Linked DNA regions of Stegostoma tigrinum. The protein of the gene in region 2 purifies or fractionates together with the protein of the main gene of each other region. This does not show direct contact. Links are inferred from orthologs where the notes say so. Each region holds a gene or a part of one and is shown on either strand. Other genes may lie near its edges.

Region 1 (8,324 bases), on a different chromosome or scaffold from region 2:
CAATTAAAAAGTCTCAAAAAATCAAATTGCTCAAAAAGTAAATTCAGAGTTGCTTCCGACAATCTAATTTATTATTTCATACCGGTAGAAGGACATAGCAGATTAAGAAAGGGACCATAATTACGAAATAACAGGGCACAGAAATATCCAACCGAGATGAGTGATAATCTCTTGCCAAATCAAAAGTTAATTATTAATAGAATACCGGTCACCACTGGAATGTTAATCTTTTTTGGAAAACAATCCTGACCCCAAGTTGTCCTGACTTCTTTTCGACACAAAACAGCGAGCTCGACGTTTAAAAGTTGCCACTGGACTTTTAAAGTTGCCAGGTCTTGATGATAAAGGGATTTTGAAAATTTAGCACCTGGGTGTCAGTTAAGTGTTATCTTCGCTTTCAGCCTCACCTTGCGCTCCAGTCTGGAAACTCTCCTTTTCTAGTATCAACCGCTACACTTGGACAATGTGGAACTGAGGCGCAGGGCGATTTGCAGGAGCAACTAACCCCTTGATCAATGCTCTTAACTTTGGTCCAGCGATGGCCGGCCTTTATCGGCGAAACTGCACCGGACAGAGAGGCTGTCGGCTCATGTGTGGAATGATAAGCGTTGGACAGGCATGCCCTGCCCCTCCTCAATCGCAACACTTCTGTGTTCTCCCCAGCTCCTCCTCTTCCCACCCACCCACTATCTCTACTACTACTTCCCTCACAGCGGTTTACGAAGCAACATTATTTAGTTATTAAAAGTTGCAGAGAAGATGGATCATGGTTGGGGAGGAGAAGGGCGTGGGCGTGAGACCAAATGAATATGCGGTACCCAGTACAATGAAGCACGGGAACAGGACCTTCAGTCCACCAGGATACCATTCTAAATTAAACCTAAAATATTCTTAATTCTGTAGTAAATGAGGACTAATCATTTGTAAATCCTGTTCACGGATCAAGAGCCAAATGGCACAGAGTTAGCTCATGTTGACACTGCTACTTATCATTGCTTTAAGGGCAGATAAAAGGCACTAGTATAGTTTGGTGGTTTGTTGGTCAGCATTGATACGGTGGGCTGAAGGACCTGTTTTTATGCTGTACGATTCTATGAGAAACAGCACTCATACAAGTGTGTGGTTAAGGCAATGTTTCCAAAACTTTTCTTTCCCACTGTGACCCTTGAAATTGTCAAGAGCAGGAAAAAGGCCAGTGATATAGAGGTGGGGAGTTTGAAATTTGCAAAGTTTCATTCAACTTGTGAACCCCATTTGGTGTCCTGGACCCATGCCCTCACTTTGGTAAGCCCTTGGTTACAGACTGCCATCCAGAGTGCTGGAGACAGGTTCAATCAAGCCATCCACTTCGGGATCATGGTTACCTGAAATGGAAGGATGTCAGGGCTGTGCAGAGAAGGCCAGAGGGGAAGAGTGGAAATAGCACCAGGGGAATTTCTTCTTCAGAGAACTAGCACAGACATGATAGGCCAGTTGGCTTCCTCCTAAAATGTAGTTGTTATGTGAATTCATAAGGAGTTCAGAATGTTTTCTTTTATCCAGGCAGTGATATTGGATCACACCATCACAAGAAATAATTTGAAGTGAAAGTTAAGAGCAAGTTGTATTTACATGGAAGCTAAATACACAGGTGGGAGACAGAAATGGAAAGGCATGTTCATTGGGTTAAATGGATTCAATTGGGAGGAGATTTTCATGAAGTATTAATGCTGGCATGGACCAGTGGGCACGATGGCCTGTTTCTCCTCTTCATATTTGTCAATCAGCACAACACTAGGATATTCAATCCTTCTTGGTGTCCCAGTTGTCTAATAGGACATTTTTCTGTACTGTAAATTCTATGTAAAAGTAAATATCAAGCGGTTCAAGGAGATAAAATATGACAGAGTAGATAGAGAAAATTTATTCTCTGTTGCAAGCAAATCATTAAGAATAATTCATTGATTTTAAAAAGTTGACAAAGATATGGAGAGGTAATGAGAAAATGTTTTTCATGCAGAATGTTAGTAGAACCTGGAATCGTCTACTTGAAAAATTGGTGCTAGCAGATTCTAACAATAATGTTAAAAGAGATTTGGTCGAATACTTGAGAATGTCGAACTAGCAGGACAGATAGAAAAAAAGCAGGGGCAGGGATGGGAGGAAAAGTGAGGCATGATGGGCCGAATGGTCTTCTTCTGTGCTGTAAATTTTAAAGATTCTATTACATGCAATAAACTGGAAATAGTGGAAACACAGAACAAGGTAGGCAGCATACTATAGAGAAAGAAAGTTAAAGTCTGAAGTGAATTACATTGTGTTAGGATTTGGAAAATCGAGAGGTGGAGCAGGTTTTAAACAATCTCAAGGACAGGACAGTTTGCAGGAGATGCTGGAATACTGCTAACTACACCAGGCTAGCAATCCGTAGGCCCAGGTTAATGCTCTGGGAAACACAGGTTCAAATTATACCGTGCCAGCTGGTGGAATTTATATTCAGATTATTCAAAATAATTCTGTACTATATAAAGAATATGACAACTATTTCCAATTGTTGTAAAAGCCAATCTGGTTCAATAATGCCCTTCAGGGAGGGAATTTGCCATCCAGTGAGACAAAAGAGAGGCAGGAGACGTGATTAGTTTGGATTTCCAGAAGGTCTTCAACAAGGTGCTGCACTGAACACCGCTCAATTAGATAAGAATCGATGTATTAGGGTCAAGGTATGGACAGAAGATCGGCTGGCTGGCTGAAGGTAGAGAATGGAGAAAAAAAGGTGTCTTCTCCAGGATGGCGGTCAAAGACTAGTGGAATACTGCAAGCATCAGTGTTGGGATCACACTATTCATATTATACATTACTGATATGCATTAAGGAACTGAGGGCATTGTTGCTAAGTCTGTAGATAACACAAAGACAGGGACAGGTAGTGTTACAGAAGCAGGGAGGCTGCAGAAAGACTTAGGCTAGCAGAGTGGACAAAGAAGTGGCAGATGGAATGCAATGTGGGAAAGTGTTAGGTTATATATTTTGGTAGGACCAATAGAGGCACAGACCATTTTCTAAATGGGGAAATTTGAAGCAGTAAGGGACTTAGGAGTCCGTATTCAGAATTCTCTTAAGGTTAACATACAAGTTCATTTTGGTAGTTAGAAAGGCAAATGCAATGGCAGCATTCAGTTCGAGAGGACTAGAATACAAATGCAGAGATGTACTGCTGAGGCGAAATAAGGCTCTGACCAGACCACATTTGGAAGCAGTTTTGAGTCCCAAATCTAAGGATGTGCTAATCTTGGATGAAGTCTAGGGGATATTTACTAGAATGATTCCAGGAATGAACAGCTTGTCATTTGATGAGAGTTTGAGAACTCTGGGTCTGTACTCAATGGAATTTAGAGGAATGAGATTTGAATCTGATTGAAGCTTGCAGAACACTGAGGGGGCTGGATGGTGTGGATGTGGAGAAGATATTTCCAATGGCAGTAGAGTCGAGGACCCAATGACACAGCCTCAGAGTGAAGGGGTGATTCTTTAGAGCTGAATTGTGGAGGAATTTCTTCAGCCAGAGGGTGGAGAATCTACGGAACTCGTTGACACAGGAGGCTGTGGAGGCCAAGTTATTGAGACAGAGATTTGAGACAAGTAGACATTGGTTCTTGATTTGTAAGTAGATCAAAGGTTAAAGGGAAATGGCAGAAGAATGGGTTTGAGAAACATACCAGCCATGAATGAATGGTGGAGCCGACACAATGGGCTGAATAACCCAATTCTGTTCCTGTATCTCACTAAATCATGGTCTTATCTGGTCAGGTCTAATTGTGATTCTAGACAAACTGCAATGTGGTTCAATCTTACCTGTCCTCTGAAATTATCAATGAAACCATTCCATTCAACGGTAATTAGAGATGGCAACAAATGCTTACCAGAGATATCCACTTAGTAAGAACAAATAAAGAAAAATTATAAGGTGAGCAAAGAACAAAATTCATATTTGATATGGTAGCAAGGAGAGTTTAAATAACAAAAGAGATTGTGACGCAGGTAAAAGGGGTGACAATGGCTTTGACCTGATAAAAGATGCAAAATGTGTAACTAGAAAAGCTCTAAATGGAAAAATACAGAATCATCGCTTATGGATGTCATTTAAAATAATGCGGTTAAGTTTATAATCTGAAATTGATGAACTCAGTGCTAAATCCTGAAGGCTGTAATGTAACTTGATGAAAGATGAGCTGTTCCTCAACGTCACGTTTGAACTTCATAGAAAAGTCATGAGATCTCCAAACAAGATAATGTTAGAAATGGGCCAATGTAGGAAACTGAGGTCAGTGTTCAAGTGGAGAATCAAAACAAATAAGTCACATTGCAGGTGAGAGCATGCATATTGCTTGAAAGAGACACATGTAGCTGAAGCTTTTTATCATGTGCACTCATCAAGACAAATGCAAAAATGCCACACGTCAAATGATGTTCATACGATAGGGGAAGGATTGGTTGGCAAGCTGATTTCAGTTGGTCAAATGGTGACATGAGGGGGATGCAAATGATGAACAAAAGCTCTAATGAAAGGAATCCTAAAATAAAGCGTTAAAATAACAAAAGGGAGGAAAGTGTGCAAAATGGAAAAAGAGAATCATCACAGACTGGCCATCCAGTGGAACCGCCCTTTAGCAAAACAGCGACCGACTCAACTCCAGCACCTTGAACGCACATGCGCTGCAAGAGTAGAGCCGTATCTCCCTGACAACCAGGACTGGGCTTTATGGGTAATATCATGCCGCAGACCAAAATGTTGGCTGACGTCATGGTCATTTGCCAGTGGGTGGGTTTTGAAGAAGATGGCAACGGTCATGAGACACCGCCTCCGCCGCCGGGTTGTCATGGAGACGACGGGGGCGTTGACACATCATCTCCATAACGACCGAGGGCGGGGGATTAGGTATTATGGGTAGCGGCGCGTTCGCGCCAACCGCGGCTTGGTATCCACAATGCCCCGCGGTTAGGGTGAAGGGCTGTCGCTTTTGAGTCTGGGTCGTGCGCCGCCATTTTAGTCGTGTTTAAATATCGGAGAAAGAAAAAAATACACAAAACTCTCTCCCCTCAGATGCTCAAAAGAAAAAATTAAAGGCGCATCTCGCAGCTTTTTTTTAAAGAAACCGTCCTATTCCTCCCATCTGTAAGCCCCTCCCTGCACCACCGAGCAAAGAAGAACGAGATGAAGCTGACGGATAATGTGCTGCGCAGCTTCCGAGTGGCTAAGGTATTCCGAGAGAACACAGACAAGATCAACTGCTTCGATTTCTCACCCAACGGAGAGACGCTCATCTCCAGCAGCGATGACGACTCCATCGTTCTTTACGACTGCCAGGAGGGCAAGTGAGTACTTTCACCGCCCCCCCCCCCCCCGCTCTCATTTCAGATCAAAAAGACCCTCCCCTCTCTGGGAGGCCTAGAAATCCCGGCCTTGATTTTCACAAAAGACCCTGAGCTCGGGTTGCGTTGCGCGGTCAGGAGAGAGAGAGTTGGGGGCTGATTGCAGAGCCAGCCTGCGGCGAGGAGAAGCTGGAAAGTAATCAGTTGCCTTGGATTATTAACTGGATTTAGGAAGAGGGCAGTCTCACGTTGGAGGCGGGAAATAGTGATCTGCAACACGATGTTCTGGGTTCAGACCGTCGTCTGTGGTGATCACTAATAATGTCTCTTCGATATGCTTCGTAGCGAAGAGTGCATCTGTAGGATTTCTTTCCCAAATGTTGCAGATAACAGCCATTCAAGGTGGAAATCGTAGCCAAACAAATCACGATGTTAGTAGCCTACCTCGATGCAGAGCACATGCGCTCAACATGCTACAGTTGAGGCAGACACCTTGCATCTGTTTACCGTGTAATTCAGTAAAGTTAACCAGACTTTTATAAATCCATGTAATAAATCCGTAAAGCTGGCACTTAGTGTGACCCAAAATCTGTGCACAGTTTAGGTCTTGTGGTGGAATGTGTAGCGCTCATGTCTCTGAGTTAGAGCTCTGGATTCGATTTCTATCCGCGAACTTTTGATATGTCTGGATTAAGTCCTGTCTGTCCTGGAGATGTGCCATTGTGTGTCAGAACAAGTTGTTTAGCAAACTGCAAGAGAATATGGGCTAGTATAGTGTGGTGTGGTGTAGTGCCACTGTGTCTGGGCCCAAACGTCTAGATTCAAATCCTACAAAAGTGTTACATAATTTTATTCATCCTGTTTAGATATATTATTTTAGAATTGTAACTTGATGGAGAACAAAGACGCATCAATAATGAATTTCAGAATTTAGGCCCTAAATAGCTGAAAGCATAGCCATTCAAGTTTTGAAGAAAATATACATAGTAGATCTGAGAAATGGAAGGGACAAGATTGTAGAATGGTTACCACATAAAGGGGAACTATTTATTTATATTTTAGTGCCCTAGATGCTGTTTTTCATGAGAGATGTAGTTTAAGTCTTTTTGAAGAAAATTGACTTGTATTTGTTTTTGCCTTGTATTCTTTGCATTGTGTTTTTCCTGTGACAGAGTTTTGTGGTCACTAGACTTCAGTATGTAAATCTCAACAGTAAGTGTTGGCAGGTTAATCCATTATTACAGGTGGCCTCAGTTGAGTATGTTATTGTTGTTCTTTATTGTCCCTCCATGCTGATTTCCAGCCTGTCGCAGCTAATTCTGTAAAATTGATGTGTAGCCTTATATTAATTTGAGTAATTCAGTTTATAAAATAAGTGTCATTCTGATAGAGAGCTCTGAATGTTATCAGGATATCTGAGTTACATTTTAAAGTAGTAAATTGTTTGATCGTCTCCGACTAAGGTAGAGGATGTCATAACTGCTTCAGTACCTGTTGAGCTGTGTGGTTGGCACTGAGTATGATGTAAGAGGTTTGCAATTTCCTTGTTTTCTCTTCACAGTAATGATGCATGTGGTTTGTGATTTTTGTTGGTGTCGCTGTTACTGAAAATCAGGTCAGCTAATGAGTCAGTAAGTCATAAGGTGTCCTTTAGTTGACCTAGTTTATTTCCTTTTTATGGATGGTCTTGTAACCAAGCCGTAGTGTTTCTGATTCTGGGTCAGAGGTATGTCAAAAACATGCCTGAGCAGGTCCATTTTCTTGTGGTCAAGAAAATACTTGACTGTTTTAACAAAGGACAGCATTATATGTCAGTTAGTTAATCAGTTACATACAGAAGCATGCATCGATGATTTTGTTGCCTTTTCTGATATTTGGGCATGACTACATAAGGGAGGCCTTGAAACTAGACAACAGTAAAATTTGGAAAGAACAGTTATGTGAACTTCTCTGCAACAGTGTGTTGAGGTTAAATTAGACATCTTTTCTGATAAAACTTAACATCACTTAATGTAATTTCTTTCTTACCTGTCAGACCAAAGAGGACACTGTACAGTAAGAAGTATGGGGTAGACCTGATCAGATACACACATGCAGCGAATACAGTGGTTTACAGCTCTAACAAAATCGATGGTAAGTTAGCTTGTGTTGTACAGATCTCCAGCTGTTTAGTTTCTCTTGCTGTGAACTTCTCCAAATCTGGGACATCCTTTGCATCTCTGCAGAATCAGGTTGTGGTGTAAAGTTTGTATTTATCTGTTACCAGTACATTAACAGTTTTTATAGAATTAATGTTTTGCCAGTTTAACACAACAATAGTTTGTAACTTTTTATTTTGTTTGTTTGGAAGTCTCGCCACCTCTTAAAACATATTTGATCCTTTGTTCTCAGTTTGCCATTGTTTTGGCTGCCTTTATAATTTTTCTAAAACTTTAGACCTGCCTGTCAAATTGCTGGGGGACCAATGTGTATTTGCATTTGCAGTTTGGTTTTGAAAGCAAGTCAGTCTTTTTATTATTTCCAAATCAAAATAACTGTGAATTTGATTTTAATATTTCAATTGATCTGGAAGTTGAAATTTGTAGATTAGAAGATGTGTCGAATTAATTAACTTTTGAGGGGGAATAAACCAGCAAGAAATAGAGAGGAAGAATGTAATTTTTGGGGCAGTTGTTTTCTATGCAAAGTGTTGATACTATTTGAAAGGAAAGTAACCAATACCTTACTACCTCATTGAAGTGGGTGTTATTTACATGAGACATGCCACCAAACTATCTGATACGTTTTAAAGGAGAGAATTGTGATCATCACAATGGAACCTCGTCAAATTAGCTATTTTCCTTCTTGTACACAGGGACACTTCACAAGGATGATGTTGACTCAGTGTGGTCTGATTCTTTGCTTCCTTTTTTGGCCCTTTGATCGAGGCCTCCAGCATGGAGGGTATGGCAGCCGGTTGTGTTCAATGCCTC
Region 2 (7,909 bases):
TCCATTCAAAAAGGAAATTGGATTAATGTTTGAAGGAGGAGGATTTTCAGGGTTACAGGGAGAAGGTGGGGGAATGGCCCTAGAACAATATTCAGAGAGCTGGCACAGACACGATAGAACAAATACATTCCTTTTCCACTGGAACTATTCTGTTTCCTGATCATCCGGGATCGAGCAACCCAGTCAACAGATACTTGATTGACCACCTTAAGCATTCACCTCCTCCACCACTGACACACAGTACCCACAGTATGTACTATTATTGTGTGCTTCTTGTAGTACAGAGCTATAACTGGCCATGGGAGAAGCTTCTGTTTTCTTTCCATCCTGTGGCTCTACGGAAATCTCTGCTGTTTTTATCATCTGGCATTGGCATTTGTTGGGATAACTTGCAGATTCATACGCACCCTGTTTGACTGCGTACCTTCCTTGGCCATCCTGAAAGGGTCTCGAACCTAGAGATTCTTGTTCAGTGGCAGAGATGCTACCCACAGTGCAACAAGACTTTCAATATTCATGTATATATAAATTGTTAAAAATGAATATTAGCATTAAAATGCAACAATATAAAAATTTAGGGCATTTTTAGGAATAATGTGAAGGTATCACAGTCTGTACATCAGCAAAGAATACATAGGGTAGAAGCAATATATTTGTTATTTTCAAAAGTGAGAAAAGTTTTGTCATGTAAGAAAGTGAAACCTTAAGACTTTCAGCCCATCAAGTTTGCTGTGCCATTCAATGAGATCAAAGCTGATAATGAAGAAAGGTCATTGCCAAAATGTTAATTCTGCTTTCTCTCCACAGATGCTGCCAGACCTGCTGAGTTTTCCAGCGATTTCCGCTTTTAGAATCATGGAGTCAAACAGCATGGAAACAGACCCTTCAGCCCAACCAGCCCATGCCAATCATGTTCCCAGACAAAACTAGTCCCACCAGTCTGCTCTTGGCTCATATCCCTCCAAACCTTTTCTCTTCATGAACTTATCCAAATGGCTTTTTTAAAAAACATGTTTAACATTGTAACTGTAATCGTCCACCACTTTCTCTGCAGTTTATTCCATACACAAACAGTCAGTGTAAAAAAAAGTTGCCCCGTATGTCTTTAAAATCTTTCTCCTCTTGCCTTAAAAATATGCCCTTTAATTCCACACCCCAGGGAAAAGACCCTTGTCATTCACCTTATCTATGCCTGTTATGATTTTATAAACCTCAAGACGGTCACCCCTCAACCTCCTATGCTCCAGCTTAAAAAAAAAGTCCCAACCTTTCCAGTATATTTTTATATTTCAAACCCTCCATTCCTGGCAACTTCCTGCTAAATCTTTTCTGAACCCTCTCTGGTTTAATAATATGCTTCCTAAAACAGGATAACCAGAACTGAACACAGTAGGTTGGAAGAGGCCTCACCAACATCCTCCATGACCTCAACATAACGTCCCAACTCCTATACTCAAACATTTGAGCAACAAAGGCAACTGTGCTAAACACCTTCATAATTACCCTGCCTACCTGTGATGCAAATTTCAAAGAATTATGTAGCTGAATTCCTACATCTCTGTGCTGCAACACTACCCCAGACCCTATCATTAATTATATTAGTCCTGTCCTTGTTTGTATGACCAAAATGCAATACCTCATATTTATCCTAATTAAACTCCATCTGCTACTCCGCAGCCCATTGACCCAATTATCAAGATTTCTTTGTAATCTTAGATAACCTTCTTCACTATCCACAACACCACCAGTCTTGGTGTCAATTGCAAACCATGCCTCCTATATTACCATTCAAATGACAAAAAAAGTAGAACTAGTACCAATTCCTGTAGAACACTGTTGGTCACAGGGCTCCAGACCGAAAAACAGCTCTCCACCACTACCCTCTGTCTCATGCCCTAAAGCCAATTTTGTATCCAATTGGTAAGCTCACCCTGAATCCCATGTTTGTTTCTGATAAACCTCAACTCCACTTTCCTGCAACAAAAACAGAAAATGCTGGCAAAGAACATAAGAACTAGGAGCAAGAGTAGGCTACCTGGCCCCTCGAGCCTGTCCCGCCATTTAATAAGATCATGGCTGATCTTTTTGAGACTCAACTCCACTTACTCGCCCACTCACCATAACCCTGAATTCCTTTATTGTTCAATAATTTATCTAGCCTTACCTTAAAAACATTCAGCGAGGTAGCTTCAACTGCTTCACTAGGCAGGAAGTTCCACAGATACACAACCCTTTGGGTGAAGAAGTTTCTCCTGACCTCAGTTCTACATCTGCTTCCCTTTATTGTGAGGCAATGCCCTCTGGTCCTAGTTTCACCTGCTAGCAGAAACAACCTCCCTGCCTCCACCTTATCTATTCCCTTCATAATCTTACATGTTTCCATAACATCTCCCCTCATTCTTCTAAATTCCAAGGAGTATAAAGCCAGTCTATTCAGTCTCTCCTCATAATCCAGTGCTCTCAACTCTGGAATCAACCAAGTGAATCTCCTCTGCAGGTCTGTGAAAGATAGGGTTGGAGTGGGAGGAAGAGCCCAAAGAGAGAGAACATTTGGACAGAGAAAAGGTGTGACTAACTAAAGCTCAGCAGGTCTGGCAGCATCTGTGGAGAGAAATCAGAAGTAATGTTTCAGGATGAGTGATCCTTCCTTAAAACGGATGGTAGCCAAGAAAATGATGATTTGTTTTATGCAGAAGATGGGGTGGTGGGTTTGGGGTAAGGAAAAGATAATAGGTGGCTAACAATGGGTTGTGTATAAAAGCATACAATGTGAAAACAAGGCGTGTTATGGGGAGTCCAAGATAATAAAATGTGAGGCTGGATGAACACAGCAGGGCCAGCAGCATCTCAGGAGCACAAAAGCTGACGTTTCGGGCCTAGACCCAGAGAGGTATCACTGTTATGGGGAGGCTGGGTTAAGGATAATAGAGAAGATGCGTCAAGCCCTAAAATTCTTGGTTTAGGCGTTGGTCAGGGAACGTGGTGGTGTGTTGAAGTATCAGGCAACTGGAAGCTCAAGGTCTTTTTTGTAGACAGAACATGTGTTCGTTGTTCCCTGACTAACATCTCTGTCTCAGGTTTGCTGCAGAGCTCCAGTGCAGCTCAACACAAGCTGGAAAAACAGCACTTCATTTTCTGCTTGGGGACTCTACAGCTTTCTGAACTCAATATCAAGTTCAACAATTTTAGGGCTTGGAACACCTTCTCCCATGTCCAAACCCCAGCCCCAACACACCAGGCCTTATTATCACATGAGCTGCTACTGCACTCCACCCATCATTAGCTACTAATTGGAGATGGCAAGAACTGCAGATGCTGGAGTCAGAGAATGACACAGTTATTCCTGTGTCTGTTGAATTTCTGAAGGGTCCTCACCTGACAAGTCAATTTTCCTGCTCCTCTGATGCTGTCTGGCCTGCTGTGTTCTGCCAGCTCTTCATTGTCCACTACTAGTTATTCATTCTTCTGGGCATATCGTTAGTCATACCTTTTCTCTGTACAAATGTTCTCTCTCTTTGGGCTTTCTCCACCTATTGTTTATTTCTAAATCCTTTCTCCCACTCCAACCCTGTCTTCTGCACAAGAAAAACCTTGCTCCTTGCTGCCATCAGATCTGAGGAAGTCATTGAACCCAAAACATCTCCTCTGCTTTCTCTCCACAGATGCTGCCAGACCCGGAGATTTTCTAGCAATTTCTGTTTTTGCTGCCACAGATTCACCACCATTTGAAGGAGAAAGATCCTCTCATCTATGTCTTAAATGGTCAACTCTGAGATTACACCCTCTGGTCCTGTACCAACATATCGGAGGAAAATACCTCTCACCATCAAGTCCCGTAAGAAAACAAGGTATAGAGCTGGATGAACACAGCAGGCCAAGCAGCATCATAGTAGCTGGAAAGTTGATGTTTTGGGCCTAGACCTTTCTGCTAGGCCTGAAACGTCAGCTTTCCTGCTCCTGAGATGCAACTTGGCCTGCTGTGTTCATCCAGCTTCACACTTTGTTATCTCGGGGATTCTCCAAATCTGCAGTTCCCATTGTCTTTGAAACAAGTCCCCTAAAGAATTTCGATGCACATCCTGCTTTAACTCAATGTCATTCATTTCAACGCCCTAATTCTTCTAAACTCCAGTGAGTATCGTAAATGAAAAGTTAGACAAAAGTGGCATGACAATCATTTGATATATCCAATGATACAAACAGAAACAGCCTCCTTAACAGTTACCCATAACACCTCGCGCCTTCCCGTGAATATCCAGGCTATTCGTGAATTTCCGTGGCAATGACGTGCCATTCCACTCCGGAGAGCGCTTCGGGTGTGTTCGACTAGTGGTGACTTCATCGAGGCGGGGCATCAATGTACTCTCCCTCCACTGACGATGCGGACGCTGAAGAGGGAATGGCTCTTCGGAAAGCCCCGCTACCCGCGTTCGTGCATTTCCGTCAGACCTTTTCGTTTCGGCCGTGCGTCACGGCGCCGAGCCGGAGGGCGGGCGCCATGTTGTGGACGGTGTTTTTCTTCCTCTCAGTCAGTGTGTGTAATGGAGAGACACCCGGGGGTCGGATCCGCACAGAAAAGCACCGAGAAAATAGCTGCCAATATCAAAACGCTTAAACAGTAACAACAGAACCGTTTATTTCCTATCTCAAGAATCAGTGAGAGCTTAATTGCAGTGCCCGGTGGTAATTTTTTTTACAATAGGAGAGAGATATATAATTTTTGAGCAGACAAAAGGGAGAGCGAGAGAAAATGTCTCTCGAAAGCCTCACCTCCTCCAACAAGCAGTCCCCCCAAAACGAACACAACAACATCAACCTCACTGAGTCAGGAGACGAAAGGTCGAGTAAAAACAACCTTTTTATCCAACATTTCTCTTTTTATATATTTATATTAAAAAACAAATTATCCATCAATTACCAAGGTCAATTTTTCTGAAGGGAAACCTTGGAAACGGAAGGTAGAGGAATGTAACTGTGGATTAACTTTTTTTAAAGAAGGATTTTTTCTTTATCTCATTCTAAATCCTCTTAAAATTGGTCGCTGGACTTTATATATATATATATATATATATATGTGTGTGTGTGTGTGTATATATATATATATATATATAATATAATTATCCTTTTATATAAAAAGGAACTAAGGGATGATTTAAGGCCTAATCGCATGCTTGGGTGCTGGATTACAATGTGACTATGTCGTTAATGCAAAGGAATTCTTTTTATAGTAGGGCCTATTTCTGTATGCTTATTAATTTTATTTCATTGATGCTTATTCTTTCCTCTCGTCCTTTAACAAAACGCAGCCTAGTTAAAGGACATCGGCAATTGACCTTTGAACTTCGTTTTTTTTACCCAGCGTCCCTATTATAAATGGAAAAACATTTATCATTTATTTTAAACCTGCTTTGAATCTGTCTTGATGTCTTTGTGATCTTATTTTAAATATGCATGACCCATTTTAAAACATGGCTTTGCAATCCCCTCACAAATACAACTACGAGTTTTATTCATTTATAACGTGACTTCTTCAGTTTGGTCCGTTCAAAATCTGTTGTACCTATATTAAAAAAAAGCACCTTGTGTTTGTACAGTATTTGCTGGTCATGATGAAACATTCATTCCTTTGTTTGCAAAGAAAAACAAATTACAACTCATTTGATTGTTTTCAGCGTCTTCAGCAATGAATACTAACTGGTCCCTTGCCCTACATTCTTTTGTAGATCCAGTTTTCTTCTTCTTATGAGGAGAAAGAGGTACAGTGTTGCCATTAGGATTTCAATAAAGTGTAGTGGCGAACATATAAAATTTTAAAAATAGTCTAAATGAACTGAAAACACTCGACAATACAATTTAGATTTTACCCTTCAAATTCAGATTGCTAACTATGGGTTATATAAGTAAATGAAGTACTGGTAACATTTGCACTAATAGCGAGAGTAATTTGTGACATTGTCATTTTCAGTCAGCAGACAAATTAGAACAACATTGAAATGGGAATCAGTCATTGCAGGTTGAATTCAACTGCATTTTTAATATTATAGATCAAAATGCTGCTTTAGTTGAACTCTGCCTTTATCAAAAATCGTTAATCATGAAGTTATTTTATCGATATCCTGGAGTTAAATAACACATACTACCCCCAACATTGACAAAATCATCACATGTCTTGAAATAGGTCTCATCAAAGAAATTTGAGTTACATGTAGAGTTCATAAATGGGGTAAGTACAAACCTGAAGATCTCGATAAATCAATTTCATGTGTCGATACTGAATAGCTTAATCTTTTAACTTGAACAGTGTAGTTATGATGTGAACGATAGTTATTATTGTATCGATAACTGTTTTGCTTCAGTAATTGATGAGAGCGATTGTATTTGGGGTAACATAGAACCTGGCTAGGAATTTGATTGACATGACAGGATAATAATTTATGAACAATAGATATTTAATGAGGATGAGCCACTTTTTTTATAATTTCATTCTCTCTGATCTTGCATTTTCCAATTTGGATCACAGAGCCATCGAAGAGCAGAATTTCGGAATAGTATTGCCAATCTTTACATTAACGTTGAGCACTATTGACAGTCAACTCATTTGCAAAGTCATGGAATTAAGCAAGGAAAGTTTGAAATGCGGTTGGGAAATTTAAGATCAGATTGAAAGAGAAAATTAAATAATAAAATGTAGGTAATTCTCATTAGCTGTTTTTCTTATTTACAAATTACCATCCTGTCATGTTGATTATCTTCTTGTGGATCATAATTTTAAGAGTTAGCAACAAAGCTTTTTTCATTGTTCTTCAAGGAGAAGATAATCTGAGTTCTTTGAATCGGTGCAGAATGTTTGTTTATCTTTGGAGTAGAAAAAGTTATCTCTCATTTATTGAGTTCCCATTTCTGGCACCAGTAATGCTGAGCAGTTCTGAAAAATTGGTGGGGATTAGTAACTCAATCTTGTTGTCTATTAAATGATTCATGACAGTGCCTTTAGACTAGATCAGGTAATGTTGAAGCTAGGATGTGGTGGGAATTTAAGGAAGAGGAAACTAGCTGCATATGGGGAATAATATGAAAGACTGTAAATTATTAGATCATTGTTATGACTCCATCTGTTGGACTTATTTATTAAAATGTATGGTGTATTCCCACTCACTCAATTAGTAAAAGCTGTGTGCCTTTGAGCTGTACAATGTGAAGGGACTAGGCCCGAAATGTCAGCTTTTGTGCTCCTAAGATGCTGCTTGGCCTGCTGTGTTCATCCAGCTCCACACTTTGTTATTTCGGATTCTCCAGCATGTGCAGTTCCCATTATCTCAGATAGTGAGGGCAGTACAGTGCCCCTTTAAGGAGAGAAAATCACATTGATGTTGGAAGTACAACTGCATGTGGACATCACCTAAGGAGAGGATTGGGTTCTACCGTTAGGTATGCATTATGGAAAAATCAACCAACTCTTCTACATAAATAGTAATCTTACGAAGGAAAAGGAAGTTACTGAGAACCATGTTGCAGCTTGAGTATGATGCAATATGTTCAGTAGAGCAGGAGAGGAGAAAATGCACTTGTACACCAAAATAAATTGAGAAAGTTGCATTAATGAACACAGCAGGCTGAAACGTCAAGCTTTCCTGCTCCTCTGATGCTGCTTGGCCTGCTGTGTTCATCCAGCTTTACACCGTGTTATCTCAGATTCTCCAGTATGGGCAGTTCCTACTATCTCTGAGAAAGTTGCATTGTTTTGTTAGTTTTGATAGTACGTTTGAGATTTTGTGGGCAAGTTATAAAAGTTTTGGAAAATGGTCAATAATTGTAATTGTTTAATGTAGCCATAAAGAGACTAATTTGTCTCTTTGGTGCCTGGTGACATATGAGGCATCTTACTTTTTCTACAGCTTCTATATTCAAC

Evidence for each region. The genes of interacting proteins can lie anywhere in the genome.
Region 1: the proteins of zc3h4 (region 2) and wdr82 purify together in Homo sapiens (affinity purification with western blotting; 4 studies listed by BioGRID and IntAct, with this or other methods). This does not show direct contact. The link is inferred for Stegostoma tigrinum from reciprocal best matches to the Homo sapiens genes ZC3H4 and WDR82.

The regions. Positions count from the first base shown.
Region 1 is NC_081364.1:12,376,652-12,384,975, forward strand, and holds the start of wdr82 (WD repeat-containing protein 82), read left to right. Parts: upstream 1-4,951; 5' UTR 4,952-5,194; coding exon 5,195-5,355; exon of another isoform or gene 5,356-5,767; intron 5,768-7,387; coding exon 7,388-7,485; intron 7,486-8,324. UniProt on the Homo sapiens protein: Regulatory component of the SET1/COMPASS complex implicated in the tethering of this complex to transcriptional start sites of active genes.
Region 2 is NC_081392.1:3,158,302-3,166,210, reverse strand, and holds the start of zc3h4 (zinc finger CCCH domain-containing protein 4), read left to right. Parts: upstream 1-4,540; 5' UTR 4,541-4,750; coding exon 4,751-4,839; intron 4,840-7,909. UniProt on the Homo sapiens protein: RNA-binding protein that suppresses transcription of long non-coding RNAs (lncRNAs). LncRNAs are defined as transcripts more than 200 nucleotides that are not translated into protein.